Linked DNA regions of Drosophila melanogaster. Changing the gene in region 2 together with the main gene of any one other region gives a genetic interaction. Each region holds a gene or a part of one and is shown on either strand. Other genes may lie near its edges.

The links.
Region 1: of if (region 2) and crol, changing one enhances a phenotype caused by changing the other (phenotypic enhancement), as found in Drosophila melanogaster (one study listed by BioGRID).

What each region holds. Positions count from the first base shown.
Region 1 is NT_033779.5:11,805,384-11,812,949, reverse strand, and holds the start of crol (crooked legs), read left to right. Parts: upstream 1-3,511; 5' UTR 3,512-3,824; intron 3,825-3,977; exon of another isoform or gene 3,978-4,936; intron 4,937-6,792; 5' UTR 6,793-6,902; intron 6,903-7,566. Other genes in the region: CycY (cyclin Y), read left to right, coding at 519-1,356, 1,451-1,833.
Region 2 is NC_004354.4:16,778,615-16,786,226, forward strand, and holds the start of if (inflated), read right to left. Parts: upstream 4,821-7,612; 5' UTR 4,704-4,820; intron 3,932-4,703; exon of another isoform or gene 3,856-3,931; intron 2,461-3,855; exon of another isoform or gene 2,250-2,460; intron 1,583-2,249; 5' UTR 1,443-1,582; coding exon 1,237-1,442; intron 1-1,236. Other genes in the region: mRpL22 (mitochondrial ribosomal protein L22), read left to right, coding at 5,461-5,730, 5,804-6,017, 6,132-6,349; CG9609 (uncharacterized protein), read right to left, coding at 6,865-7,612. UniProt on the Drosophila melanogaster protein: Alpha-PS2/beta-PS is a receptor for Tig, wb and Ten-m. Involved in the function and/or development of the olfactory system.

The DNA.
Region 1 (7,566 bases), on a different chromosome or scaffold from region 2:
CCAAACTTTCAAATCAATCAAATAGTCAGTCTTATCAGGTCATTCAAATTTGTAGCACTAGAAAGTGTTATTAACAATAGTTTAAATGCCACCACAAGTAGTGAAAAAGTAGTCAAAACTTCTCTAAAATCGAATAGCACCCTCCCCAAAAAAGGGCAGTGCAATTAATAATGGGTTATGGGATGAGAATGAGAACAGATTTGCAGATAAGATCGAATGAAAGCCGAGGCTAAGCGTTATCTATATACATACATATACTCTTTGCAGCAAACGCTCGACGACGGGCAGCGGTAATTGTGGAGCGATAGAAACGCCAGCGCCATGCCCATAGACATAGACGCACGACGACCAAGTGCCAAAAGCGAGAACCGAGCGTGAGCGACTGCCAGGAGCAGGATCCGTAACCACGGGGTCCATCCGCTAGTCAAGAGAGAGTGAGCAAGCGAGCGAGTGAGTGCCAAGCCAAGTTTGCATTTAGTTTGAGCGCCCGACCAACCGAACCAATCCGAAACGGCAAAATGGGCAACAAGAACTCGTGCTGCGCGTACTCCAGTCCGCAGTCGGACCGCAAGTCTAAGGACATGCCGCCCGTCTTCGAGGAGCGGATTATCCAGCTGGGTCATCCGCCGCACACGTCACAGCACCAGTTGGACGGCCACCATGGATCCGCGTCGGCGGTGCACCTGCATCACCATCATCACGGCCACAATCAGCAACAGAATCAGCAGGGTGGCGGCGGTGACAACTATGAGAACCAGCAGAATCTGCAGCACATCTCCGAGCGAGAGGCGCTGGAGGGCGAGGAGGATCCGTCGGTCGATCCCACTGCAGCCACCATGTTCCTGGAACGATCAAAGGTGGAGAACGGCGGCATGACGCGCAAGCGTTCGCAACAGCAGATTGCCCAGCAGGCGGGCAGCGGCGGCGGAGGAGGCGGCGGCGGTGGCGGCGGCAGTACTCCCGGTGGCAATAGTTGCGGCGGTGGTGGCGGCATGAAGAAGAGCTCCTCCTGCTCGACGATCTATCTGGACGACAGCACTGTGTCGCAGCCGAATCTTAAGAATACGGTCAAATGCGTCTCACTGGCCATTTACTATCACATCAAGAATCGGCAATCGGATCGCCGGCTGGACATCTTCGACGAGAAGCTTCATCCGCTGACCCACGACCAGGTGCCGGATAACTATGACACGCACAATCCGGAACACCGGCAGATCTACAAGTTCGTGCGCACGCTCTTTAACGCCGCCCAGCTGACGGCCGAGTGTGCGATCATCACGCTAGTCTACCTGGAGCGGCTACTCACCTACGCCGAGCTGGATGTGGGACCCTGCAACTGGAAGCGCATGGTGTTGGGTGAGTGGAGTGCTGCAAGCATCAGATATTCAGAACAAGCAGTAGATCACTAATTTGGTATAGCTTACTAATTTCTACTATTGATGTTCTGCAGGTGCCATTCTCCTCGCCTCAAAGGTGTGGGATGACCAGGCCGTTTGGAATGTAGATTACTGCCAAATACTCAAAGACATCACCGTGGAGGACATGAACGAGCTGGAGCGCCAGTTCCTCGAGCTGCTGCAGTTCAACATCAATGTACCGTCCTCGGTGTACGCCAAATACTACTTCGACCTGCGCACGCTCGCCGAGGCCAACGAGCTCAACTTCCCCACGGAGCCGCTGTCCAAGGAGCGGGCCCAGAAGCTGGAGGCCATGTCGCGTGTGATGCAGGACAAGGTCACTGCCGAGGCACTGAAGAATGGGATCAAGAAGTGGTCCTCCATGGACAACATCAGTCAGGGCGGGCCGCGACGCAGCGTGGCCATACTATCGTGATTTATATTAGCTTACTAAAACCGAACAACCAACCAACAGCAGCAATGAGATCCGTACTCTGTAGTCCGTAGTCCGATCGAACGTCATTTGAGAACCGTAGCTCTGCGCTGAATCAGATTTTGCACACAGATTCAGATACATTTCGTAGGCCACCCGGTTGCATAAGCTTTTGCGGGTGGCTTTTTAGCCAGCACACAGACTCTAAAAGGAACACCCAAATACGTGCAGAAAGAATCACAGTCTTATATACAATATATACATACACGAAGAAAAGCGTTTTAACCACACGTCTCGAATTAAGGACCACTTTTTACATATACGTACATGCGATCGATGTATGTAAGCGAAACTACCGATGCAGTCATGGATTTGGATGATGATTTTAAACAGAGACACAGAAGTACTACTACAGCAACGCGTAACCAATTGCCAAACGAAAGATCACAGAAGCAGAAAGAGATACAGAAACCTAAACCGAACAGTAGAGAATTGTTTGTACAAAACGGCTTAAATAATATTGTAATTGACTTGGCCACCTAATCCAGCTGGCATCTAAGCAATTTAATCTCAACGGTTGGCCACGGCCACCAAATTGTCATTTACTTAGCGCGTCCGCGCCCAAAAAAAGAAAAGAAAAACATTTCCCTGTACATTTGTTACGAATTTAATTTGTTTACCTTACATCCATGTTTTCTTAATAACTCAATATGATTTCGTGTGATTCTTATATAGTTTCCATTTAGCTTTATATACGATGAACGATATTCGGCTTCCCCGCGTCAGGCTTCAGGCACAAATCGATTTTCTGGGGGCGCGGCCTGCGGCAAGTTGATTTGTTTTTTTTTGGTTCTTAGCATTAGAAAAACAAACAAAATCCGAGCGAGAGTTGCAAGGAGCACAGCGCAATATTAACCCAAAAGATTTGTGAGTAAATTAATGTACTAGACATATAAGGATACGAATTATATGCAAAATGTATTTTATTTTGTAATTTATTTTACGATAAAGCTAAATAAAAGCAAATCAAAGAAATAGACTTTCTATAACTTAGTTTTTGTCACTTTTTTTTCGAAAACGTGGGTTTTGAAAACGAAAGCGCGCTTATTCGAAGTCAAAAACATGGCCATATGAAACAGAAAGTTTTTGAAACATTTTTTTTTTTTTATATAGAAAGGACTTCTGGCTATTCTATGTATAAAAACATTTTAGAAACATATCTTATTCTAAATAAGAAGATCGATCATAGGATTTCTTTCGAAAATCGTATAAAATGTATTGTATAATCCACTTATTTTCTTTCCCTCCCACAAAATATGGATTCAAAAATCTCGAACAAGATTATGTGGAAAAGTATTGATAATCACCTAAACACATTGATTTTCAACATTATAAATACTCCACTTGCAAATGCAAAAAAAAAACTCTTTAGAAATAGTCAAGATCCTACTATTTAAGTTTATACTTTCAGAAAATCTTATAATTCCAATTACACTTTATAACTTATTAAATTTACGCTGCTAATTATTTTTATTATTTATAAAATACTTTACGAAAAACTTAATTTTCAAAGCTATCGACGCAGTGCCATCCCTAATTTGGTATTTTTGTGTATTTGGTATATTTCAAAATTACATTGAAAATAAAGCAGCCCGGTCACACTGCCAGCTCTGGAGAACTATCGATGTCATATCGATACTTCTTCCAGCTCTATACACTGCTTCTCTCGCTCTTCCGCCCGCAACTAAAACTCTGGATCCGCGTTAAATGTTAAGAAAATAAAGGCACCGCTCTAATTAAATGGCCAACCGCAAGTGTACAGTGCGCGCAATGCAGTTAGTGACCAGTGGAGAGTGATGTGCAAGATCGGGCCACGAAACCAAGATCGCCATTGAGCAATCCGGGAACGGCGTCTGTTGAAAAGGGACGCTGCTGCAGGCAGAAAAAGGAGTGGTAGCTCGCTGGTCTATGGATAAAACGTAACTATATCGCTGGTGAGTGCAATTCGAATTGGCGACTCTTGCATTCGTATTCAAATTGGCCAATTGGACCCGGCCGAATTTGTGTGCTTAACCGTTTTGCCGCCTTTTTGTGCCCAAGCCCCGAAAAAGCAGCACAACAACGGGAGGGGGTTGGTGGAGGGAGCGGCGGAGACAGCGGCAGCAAATCGTTAATAAGAACAACGCAATCGCACGCACACACACACATGCGGGCTCGAGCACGCATTGTATCTGTATCTTGCGGTGTCTCTCGTAGTCGCTCTCGCTCTCTCGCTGCCTCCACACCTCTTGCCAGTGCTGGCCACTTGGATTCTCTCTAGCCAGTTTTTGTAATTGGAGTAAGTGCAGGTGCTGCTTGGCTAGTTATCTACTCTGAATGCTAAAAGTAGTTTAAGTTTTCATCTAATATAAAAATTTGTTGAAAGGGATACTTTAATCAGTAATTTATAAATGCTTTTTTGACTTTTTCCATTTGAATATAAGGTTATAAAGATTAAATTGAATTATTTTAATAAGTGTTTTAAATTTTCATGTATTCCGATCAGATAAACCGCCTTGTTATTAAAGTTATTTTTCTCACTGGCTTATGTAAATGTTAACTTTTTTTAGCATTGGATTGGGATTATTGGGCTTTTTACAGCTCTAAGCTAATCAACTCATTACCTGATATTTGTTATGCCTTTGCCATATTATTAAAAAAAACTTATATTTGATATTTGACTGTCAAATTTTCAATAAGATAATCAGATAGCCTTGTTATTATGCCACACTTAGGAAGTTCAATAAATAACTTTTAAATATAAGAGTCGAATCAATTGATCCCTCGTCAAAGCCAAACCGCCTGCACTGGCTCTCCCACTGGACTTTTGTGCTTTCGGCTGCCGCCCGAACGCGCCGCACGAAGAACTTTTACATCGGTCGCCTTTGCCTGCTCGCCTTCTGCTGCCTCCGCGTCTCATTCAGTTTTCAGTTTGCTTTGCTCTGTTCGCCGTTCACCACCGCCTCTCACCCGCGCGGCGTTTCGATTCTGATTGCCACTACTGTTGCACACACACACACACATTCGCCGGAGAGTGTGCCCGCCACCACCACCGTTGCAATATCAAGTAAATTTTCATATACTGGCGTCATAAGAACGAACCGAACAACCTTTTTAAAGCTTGTAAAAAATGCAGTGTTTTGTACGAGGGGAGAAGCTGCTAGAGGGGGTGGGTCGGATATGATGGGATGGGGAGAGGGACAAGTACCGGGGCTGATTGGAAACAATTGAGTTTATTTGTGAAATTCGCAGGCCAAAAAGAATGCGAGAATTATTAATCAAATGACTTTGCGGTCGACTTCGCTGTCAGTGTATTGGTGTGTGAGTGTTTTTGTGTGCGAGTGCGAGAGTATCTGTGTGTGCTTGTGTATGAGCTGCGCGCACATCCACAGCTACAGAGTTTCCATTAACGTCATCATCGTGTCATTCTTGCAAGTTTTAGAGCGAGAGAGGGCAGACGCAGGGTTGCATTTTTCTAAAATTTATTAACTATAGCACTTTAAGCGATCGGTGGCGCTTTCCGTATTGGCACTTTTTTCGCCGCCATATGTTAGAACCCAGCTCCCGATTCCAATTCCTTTAGCTTTTCCAATTGTGCTCAGATGTGTGCCTGTGTTTTGTTTAACAATTATGAAATGCACACTAATTGGCTGTAATGAAAATGTGACGGACGTTTCTCCAACTTGATCCTCCTTCTCCTCTCTCTCACTCTTTTTCCCATTCGATTCGCCGCTCTCTCGGTCGAAATTTGAGCGACAGCCAAACAAACTTAAAAATAAAAAGCGGCAGCAGCGGCAATAATTATAACTATAACTCGAGTTTCGGATCTCGGCATATAGAATGTGAGCCAAAAGGCAAAACTTGTATCGACGCGCCGCCTGTACTCGCTTGTCTCTCTCTCTCTCTCTCTCTCTCTGTCTCTCTTTCACGCTCGCTCGTTAGCTACTCTCTCAGCTTTCATTTTTTTCTGTCTCGCCTCCTCGCTTTATTTTGTACTTACGCTTTGCGATTCAATTCGTTTTTATTGGTTTTCCGCTTTAGGCGGCTGGGAATTGTACGTAGCGTCGTTCGTGCAAAACGTTGTTGCTGCTGGGCCAGGGGATAGGGGGTGACGTTGCCGTTGTCGTTCAATGAATAATGAGAGACAATGTAAGGCAAAGAGAGGGAGAGAGGCAGGAGCGAGAGAGAGGCGAGACGAGAATAACAAAATAAAAAAAGCAAAACCGTGTACAAAAGTGCACGAAAAGCAGTGGGTAAGAAGGGAACAAAGAGGAGGCGGCATGGCAAGAAAGACACAACTTTTTTTCCCTGCTGGCAGCCAAAAGCAAACCAGAATGGTGAGAGGGAGAGAACGAGGAGAGGCCCCCCGTCTAGAATCTAGAAGAAAAGCAGAGAAGACTGACTGGTCGAGGAGATGCACGCACATACAGCTCTTCTAGATATAGATACAATTAATTTGATTTGTTAGCACCGAAACCGCACCGCACAGCACTGCTCGTTTCGAATTGGAATAGTTGGAAATGTAAAATTTGCAATGCCCCCCCGAAGGCAATTCCAATTCCCATTCCCTTTCCAATTAGAGTTAGAATATTTTTGCTCTTCTTTCCACGCAGACGCAGCCTTAGTTTCGTTGTGTTGGTGACTTTTGCATACATATGGATGTACATATACATATATTGACTGCAAATAAATTTTCGCTTGATTTGCTTTTGCCCCCCTGTCCGTTCTTCCCACACACGTATGCAAGTATGCATGTGTTTGTGTGTGTGTGTGGAAGTGGAACCAAAACTGAAAGCAAAGGGAAAAGGGGAAGACTGTACCGCGGGCCGTTTGAATATTTCGCGTAAACATAAACACCGCAAACAAACTGTTGCTCACTGGTTATTATTGTTGCCATGTCTCCCCTCTCGTTTCTGCTTGCAGGTGGCCCTGCCCAAAGGAACATCCGCATCCGTCTAAATATACTTTCAAGTCCGCTCCTGGCGAGCCTCCCCAGTAAAATCGGCGGAATCGGGCCAAGAGAATCACATGAGGTAAGTGATTTCAATTGCTGCAGCTTTCACATCAAATTACAGGGTGACTTTGCCACTCACCACCCAAAGGGGTTATTCAACCCCATTCGATACGGATCATTCTTGTTTCTGGACCATATGGCATAGTGTTTTCGTCTAAAACAGCGCTTTCGAAATTTATAATCCCTTTCGTAACGAGTAACCTAATTCGCTGGATAGCAACTGATTAAATGCAAATCTCAAAGTTTCAAAATAAACTTTAATGGTTGTTTTCCAACTTCCTACTTTACCAGTTTTTGGATATTACCTCATCAAGATACATATGACTTTAATAACATTGCTTTATAGCATATTACTTTGGCACATTAGATTTTTAAATCTATGTCATCGGTCTATTTGTAGATCATCCCAATGATTTCAGTATAATCATAAGATTCTTGATGTATACTTCAATTCTTGTAAAGGTTAGGGGATTCGTGTTACGATGCAGATTACTTGAGCTTTAAATGTAAATAACTTGAAATATTCTTCATTGAACCATGACTCAAAGGGATACACCTTGCTGAATCAAGAGTGAATTGCGATAATGGACCAACTCTAAAAAGTTATCTTAAAGATATGCTTAGATATATGGAATTGGGGATACCCGGTAGTTGGCACAAAATTCTTTTGATCCGTTGATGAA
Region 2 (7,612 bases):
TAAACTTTCCGCTCGAAAGTCCGGCGGTTGGGGCGAAGTGTCCCAGATAGATTTAAATGACCGACCGACCGACCGACCAGTGCCGTCCGATGCGACACGCTCGTAAATTTATCAATGAATCTTTACCCGAATGGGCGACGCTATCTCATTGCGATTGAAACTAATGGGCGTTTAGCATTCTAGATGCATATTTTCACGCTCCTCAAGATTGGAGGCAGGCGGCATGCCTGCGTGCTGGGAGCCTAGTGCAGATAGCCGGGAATCTCGACTTGAAGATTAACATGTCACTGGATTATCTACACCAATGGACGCATAGGCTGCGAAAAAAAAAGACTCAAGAAGCGGTCTGTCATGACCAAAGTATCTCTTAGTTTTCTACGCGACTGATAACGTTAATAGTCGCTAGAATCATATGAATATGAATATGAACAGCATTCAGTTTTGGGGCTTCTTACTGACATGTGAAAAGGACACTACCGTGCTGGAAAGTTTTCGAAAAAGAAGGAATTGAACTGTGAAATCCCGGAAACTTGCGTGAATTGAATGAATTCTTTTATCGCCAGCAAGAAAACGAAGTACTTCCGATGCACTGATTTTTCCCTTTTCTTTCATATCGGCGGAATTCTTCTTTTTGGGCACACTTAACTTTATCAAAACAAGAGCTCTACTTAATTGAGGAAAAAAGATGACCCTAATAAATAATATATATTGTATACTATATATCACATGTTATATTCATATCATAGTTGGTCTTATCTGGTATTTTTACATGATATTATATGATGGATGAACACCAGCATCTTTTAGATCGTAGTACAAATAAGTGAAATGGAAAGAGTAACCGATAGCGGCGTGAATTCAGAAATTCAGCAATTCAGATAAAACGACTATACAGACTGCATTAACTGGAAAGCGTGCTTTAATCCCATATGATTTACTTATCTTTAATGAGTTTCATTTTAAAGCACATTTCTTCCAACGAAGATAATTTATTGAAAAGAAATGTCAAGAGGGTCGCTCGAAGATAAAGCAAAATAAATGACCCTATTCGGAAGTTGTAATGAATATAAGTAATCCAAGTAGGCTGAAAATTCTGAAAATTTTCCAATTATTTACAATTTTATTTCAATTCAGCTTGTTGCCTTGGAATCGAAATGAAACGCTAACTTCTCAACTTAGTTATATGAAAATATATTTATCTAGATCTATGCTTGGCTAACAATTAGTTAAACTTACTTATTCTGATTGCCGTAGAATCCACTGCGACCCTTGTGCATCGCAATGCTGAATCCGAACATCGAGTTGCTGGACTGCCGGAAACGGACGTAGCTGGGCAGGTCGATGTTGTAACCATGGGCGGACATGGCGATCAGGAGCAGAATCAGGCTCGTTATGGGGCAGTGAAGAGCCATTCTTCTTCGGTGGATGGAATCTCCACTCATTTTGTCGACTTTCTAACTTCTTTATTCGCTGAGCTGATTACTTTACTTTTTGCTGTATTTCTACTTTCTCTCGAATTTGTATATCGATTTCGTTGGGCTTGCATCCAAGAACTTAGCACTTTACGCTTGCATCTTCACAGCTGGCGATCGGAATCGAGAATTATTATAACATATGGTCAAAAGAGACGCACACACACGCGCGGCTTTATTTATTATATAAACTCAACCTTGGCCAACATGAGTTGAGATTCCAAAAACGAAAACCGAAAACCAAAAAAAAAAAAAAAGAGCATAAAACACGAAAGCCAAAAACAAAAACTATATTCTTCAACTCGGCAAATGCTGAGTGTCTCTGTTTTTTAGTATCTCCACATATCTCTATCTCAACGTCTGCGATCTTCCTCTCTCATTCGCACCCACTCGCCCGCTCTCTCTCTCTCTCTCGCTTAACATCATAATCAAGATCTGTTGGCCTTGGGAATCGCGGAGTGGGCGGGGTGGTTAGGGCTGGTCGGATATCTAATGTCTGAAGTCGGATGTCGGGCCAATTACGAGTATCTTTATTACACGGTTCAGTTTCTTTTCAAATTATTCGTTACTATTAAACTGTCAATGCCAAAAAATCAATAAAATGCATGTCATCCGATAATTTGAACTTATTTTTATCGATTATTATTATATTATTAGGTTTTAATTATATTTCTTTGCATGTAAGGTTGTTTATATTATATTTTTATATTTAGTAGCTTTTGTTTTCATTAAAACGGTTTCTTGTTAATTTTTTAACAAATCACTTTAGGTTCTCACTTCTTTTTATTATTTATTTTATTTTATTTTTTTTTTGTTTAAATGATTTCAATCATCTCCTTTTCACTGCAGCAAAATGCTAGGGTATCAGTCGGGTCGTTCATATATTGTTGTCTAATTCTAAAATCTGATTTGTTGTTTTTAGACATTTTTGACGGTTTCATGTTTGCTTTTGGATTTTTTTCTTTTTGCTGCATGCTTAGATTTTGGCGCGTTCTACGCTCAGCATCGCGATGATGGTGATGGTGACGTAATGGGCCGTCAAACAGGTTGGCCAAAATAACAAAATAACGGCCAAAAAGCCATTAGACTTTTAGCCAGATTGAAAGCCAGCCAGCCAGCCCTTCCCACACAACTTTAGTTTAAATTGAAGATAACTTTCAAGGAAAAGTTGAAAATGCAATTGGTATCGAACGATTCAAAATATTATTTCAGTTGCAAGTACTTGAAGAAATCAAGACCTTAAGTAAGTATTTGAGCTGGATATTTTTTGCAGTGTACGTAGGTTTCTGTGGCGGAAAAGAATCCCACAAGTTGTAGGCGGTTTTGTGCAGGTGACATTTGACACATTTTCCACTTTTTATGCCCAGTTTTTCCGCCGAGTGTGGGCGATTCGAGTTCATTGATGGGCGGCTGCCATTCATAGACAAGAAAATGAATTATAATTAAGCGAGAGAGAGGAAAAAAAAACAACCTAAAAATTCGCTGTAGAACGCGCCATATGGTGTACACCATTTAACATTCAACAAATTGATCATGCGGCTGGCATTCAAAATGACTGGCGAATGTGTCAATATAAATAAGACAGTTAATTTCGTGGCCCACAAATTGCAGGCTAAAAATTGAAATGCGTTGCCAGGCGAACACAATTGTTAACTGAAAGTTGCTAAATTTGCATAAATAACTTCCTAAGCGTGCAATTTGCATTTAAATGCAAAAGCTGGCGAAAGTTTCTAAAAATATTTCTTCGTTTCCCATTTATTTGATCATCATTTGAACTTGTAACTACTAATTAACGAAATAACCTTCAGTTTTGAAGTAAAAGGTTTGAGACCCTTTTTGAACACTTCTCTTCTTTTTTTTGCACATCAATTGAATATATTTGGCAACAGTCACTACTGGAATTGCCATACAATCTTGCCCAGATGGTTAAGATATGAATACGAAAAAAAAACACATCAAAATAGTGGAAAAAACGATCATTGTCTAAAAATAAATCTAAAAAGTTGGAAGCTGTGTGCTACGCCCAGCAGAGTCCGCCTATATCTAGGTATATATGCACATGTATATATAGACGTGCATATACAGATCGAATTCTACACTGCACAAAATGTCGGAGGTGCAAACACAGCTGCGACATTAGTTTATTGATTTTGGCTTTTGTGTTTGTGTTTTTTTGTCAGATTTTGTTTAATATGCGTATATTTTGGGAATTTATTTGGTCGGTGCACTTTTCACTGGTGCTGCAACACTGGAAAAAAATGTTTCAAGCAATTTGTTGGCGCGTCGCGTGTTGTGCTGTTAATAAGTAAAGTTCACTTTCAATTGGTATTGTTTGTATTATTTATATTTTGATTTGCTATTTGACATTTGGTGTTTGCTCTACCTCGGCAGCGAACGCAGCAAGATTTAAACGACGACTAATGGCGCACAGTATCTGTAAGATACATCTTAGCACCGCCAGAGATACATGGGTGAACTGCTCGTGCCAGATCGCCTACTCAATACCCAACCAATGTAGTCTCTAGTTTTTAGACTCGGGAGAGCGATCTCGGAACAAACGCAAAGCTCTCAAACAACCAAAACGATAGCAAAAGTTTTATTTTTTCATTATCTACACATGTATGTAGCGAGCATCCCACTCGAAAAAAATTTCAAAGGTGAGTTTCGTGTGGGAAGTCTGTAATTTCCGTTAGCAAAAGTTTCGACCATTTGATGTGTCATTTTGTTGGGCCATATGTACATATGGAAGAACGTTTATTTCGAAAATGGAATCACATATAAATTTATGATTTTTATGTTCATATACACAAGCTTATATCCATTCGGAAATTAAAAAAATGTATATATTTTTTAAAATTCGAAAAAGGTAAATACACTTTTTTCAAAGTTTTAACTAAATGAGCTTTGAAATCTATAAGTTTTAATTGCACGATATGCAACATTTTCGCATGTGCGTTGGTGCAAATTAATTCTGCCTCGAAAATGAGAACGCTGCAGTGAAAATGGGTTTTCCCATTTATCCAGATGGTTTAGATTCGCAATCACGAGATCTCGGAATGTAGTGCAATTCGACTATACGAGCAAATTCGCCGGCTAACCGAGGCAGAGCAAACTGGCAATGCAAATTAATGAAAACAAACAATGAGCCCTCGAAACTCCGGTAAACATTTTCGATGGCTGGATATATGTATCAGATAACACGCAAATATAAATGTTTCGCCGTTCAATTACCATCGATTGCATTTGCATACGCGAATTTGAATCAAAACTGGCGCCCGTTGAATTTCCGTTTCGAACGCGAGCGCTCCGCACTTTACACCAGGCAACTTTCGCTTCACGCCACCGAATGCAGCACTCAGATGGCTAGCAATTCCTCAGATACAATTTCAAATTTCACGCAGGGATGCCAGATCGTTGGGCGATTCAAAAGTGAGCGCGACGCGCTGTTGAGAACGATCAACTTAAGTGTATAATATTGAACTAGAATAGTTACATAGTGCATAAGGAATATTTATGTCTTTCAATTTTAATATACTTTAAAGATGGTCAATTCCAAATGGGTACTTTAATTGTTAGGTTTCATATTTTTATGAAAATGTGTATTAATTGCTAATTTGTGTGGAGATAAATGTTTCCGTTTCAATGCATTATTTTAATGGCTTCTAAATGTGAATTGCTGATATGCTCTTATTTAAGTTAATAATTTTATGTCGTACCAACTTGCTTTTACAAGTTTTTTTTTAAATCTAATAAATAAATATATTTTCAAGCAATATCGATAGCGCTGCCAGATGTTTACATATCCTAATCAAACGCTGCCATACCGCTCGCAGATCAGCCGCTTGTGCGGTACGTTTTAGGTCCACGGCATACCTGCTGCCATTGGTCACACTGGCAGATTACGCGATTATTTTTTTTACGGAAAGTCTGCGTTTTCCCTTCCGGATTGAATTGCCTGGATTTGCTGTGATAACTCAAGCAAGCTAAGATGCACAAGGTGATCCGGCAAATGTCCCAGCTGCGCCTGCAGGCGCCACAGGGAGCAGCGCTCCTCCGATCGGCGGATAGCAGCTCAATATCACCAGCCATATCACCAGTTTCACCACCTGCCCTCCAGTCGAAATCCCTGCACACGGCCGCTTCCGCCGGAATGCTGTGCGCCAAGTGGAACAAGTACAACTACGGACCCCGCAAATGGCTGGAGTACAACAAGACCGTGCATCCGCCGCAGGAAACGGACGAGGAGCCCAGAAATGCTGTAAGATACATATTTCGAACGCACTGCTGTTACCCCTCCAGCTGCAATCCTCTAATCCACTTGCATTGCACAGTATGTCTGCCACATGCGCAGCAACATCAAATACAGTCCGGACAAGATGTGGTACATCGCTGCCTTTGTTCGCGGAATGTCCGTCGACGAGGCGCTGAAGCAGCTGAACTTTGTGCTCAAAAAGGGGGCCACCGATGTGAAGGAGACCATACTGGAGGCCCAGCAAATAGCCGTGGAGCGGCATAACGTGGAGTACAAGAGCAATCTGTGGATAGGTGAGCCGCAGGGGCACAAGGAATCTATGTATCCACTATGAATGATGGATTATCATTAGTTTCTTCATCACTAACCATTATATTGATGAATCTTTGTCTGTTCTTACCTACCAGCCGAATCCTTCGTGGGCAAGGGACGCGTCTTCAAGGGCGTGAGGCGGCATGCTCGCGGTCGCTTCGGCAAAGTGGAGTACAAGCACTGCCACTACTTCGTGCGCCTGGAGGAGGGCGAGCCGCCGCAGCACTACTACCAGGAGCCGCAGACGCCGGAGCAGCAGTACGAGAGCTGGATGGAGCAGATGCGAAGCCGGAAGATCATCAACTCGCTGTAGCCACCTGAATTGGCACTCGTATGCAATCGATCCGCACTCCTGCAGTCCTCCATCGCCATCGCGTCCACGCGCATTAAGCATTTTTTTTGGTTTTAGAAGATTGTTTAATAAAATAGAAACAGACAAAAGAACTATGTCAGAGGTTCATATTGTTCTTATTTTTACTTAGAGGAGTTTATTTTATTTAGTTTTGCGCGTATATACACAATGGATATTATTGGTTTTCTCTCTGGATGCCCGAGAGTTTCGGAACTCTAGTTGAAGTCAGGGAATGTTTGCAACTGTAAGCTTAAAGTAAATAAACTAATTCGCTCCAGGCGAATACTACTAATAATAGCTTACTAATTTATGCAAATTAATGCAATTTCGGATGTTTCTGAACGCAAATCCTAAGTATTTACTGATAAATTAGTTGTTTCTCTTTTAGAAGTTGTGGTTTAAATTAAAGTAGTCATTCAATTGTTAGCCTCTTGACCAGACCTTCTCACTCCCGTCCCTTTGAATGGCCTTTTGCTCTACTCCTGCTCCTTTTCCTCTTCATCCTGCAGGGTCTGTGCCAGCAGCTCCTCGACGGGGTCATCCTTCAGCGACTGGGTGATCTTTTCGAGGACCAAAGGCTGTCGCTCGCGCACCGCCTCATCATCTTCCTTGTCCAATTGCAGGCAGGCCAGTTTGGATAGCCTCGAATGTTTGCTGCGTCCAGCATCGCGTCGTCGCTTGCGGGATGTGGACTTAGTTTTGCCCCCTTCTCCAGTCTTACTCTTGTCCTTCTTCTTGGCTTTCAATTCCTTTTTCGTCGCACCATCTTTGTGATCCCTGAGCAGATGTCTCGCCAGATTCTGCGCACTGCTGAAACAGCGGCCGCAGTCCAAGGCCTGGCACTCGAAACGCCTGCCCGAGTGGGCGGTGAGCATGTGCTGGCGTAGATTCCTGAGGTACGAGTAACTCTTGCCGCATCCCTCCTCGTTGCAGGTGAAGGAGGTGGCGCACTCATCCGTCTGCGCCGCCTCCTTGTGCTTCACCTCGAGGTGACGCTTCAGTTCGCTCGGCTTGTCGAAGGCACTATCGCAGCGGTCGCACTTATGGCGATTCTTGCCGTGCAACGAGTCGCGACAATGCTTCGTATACAACGTCCATTTGTCGAACTGCAGCGGGCAGCCGGGACACTCGTACAGCTTGCAGCTGGGCTCGTGACTCTGGCACTGCCACTGCTGGTAGAAGCCGCGCGAGCACTTCGAGCAGCTGTACGGATACTCCAGCGTG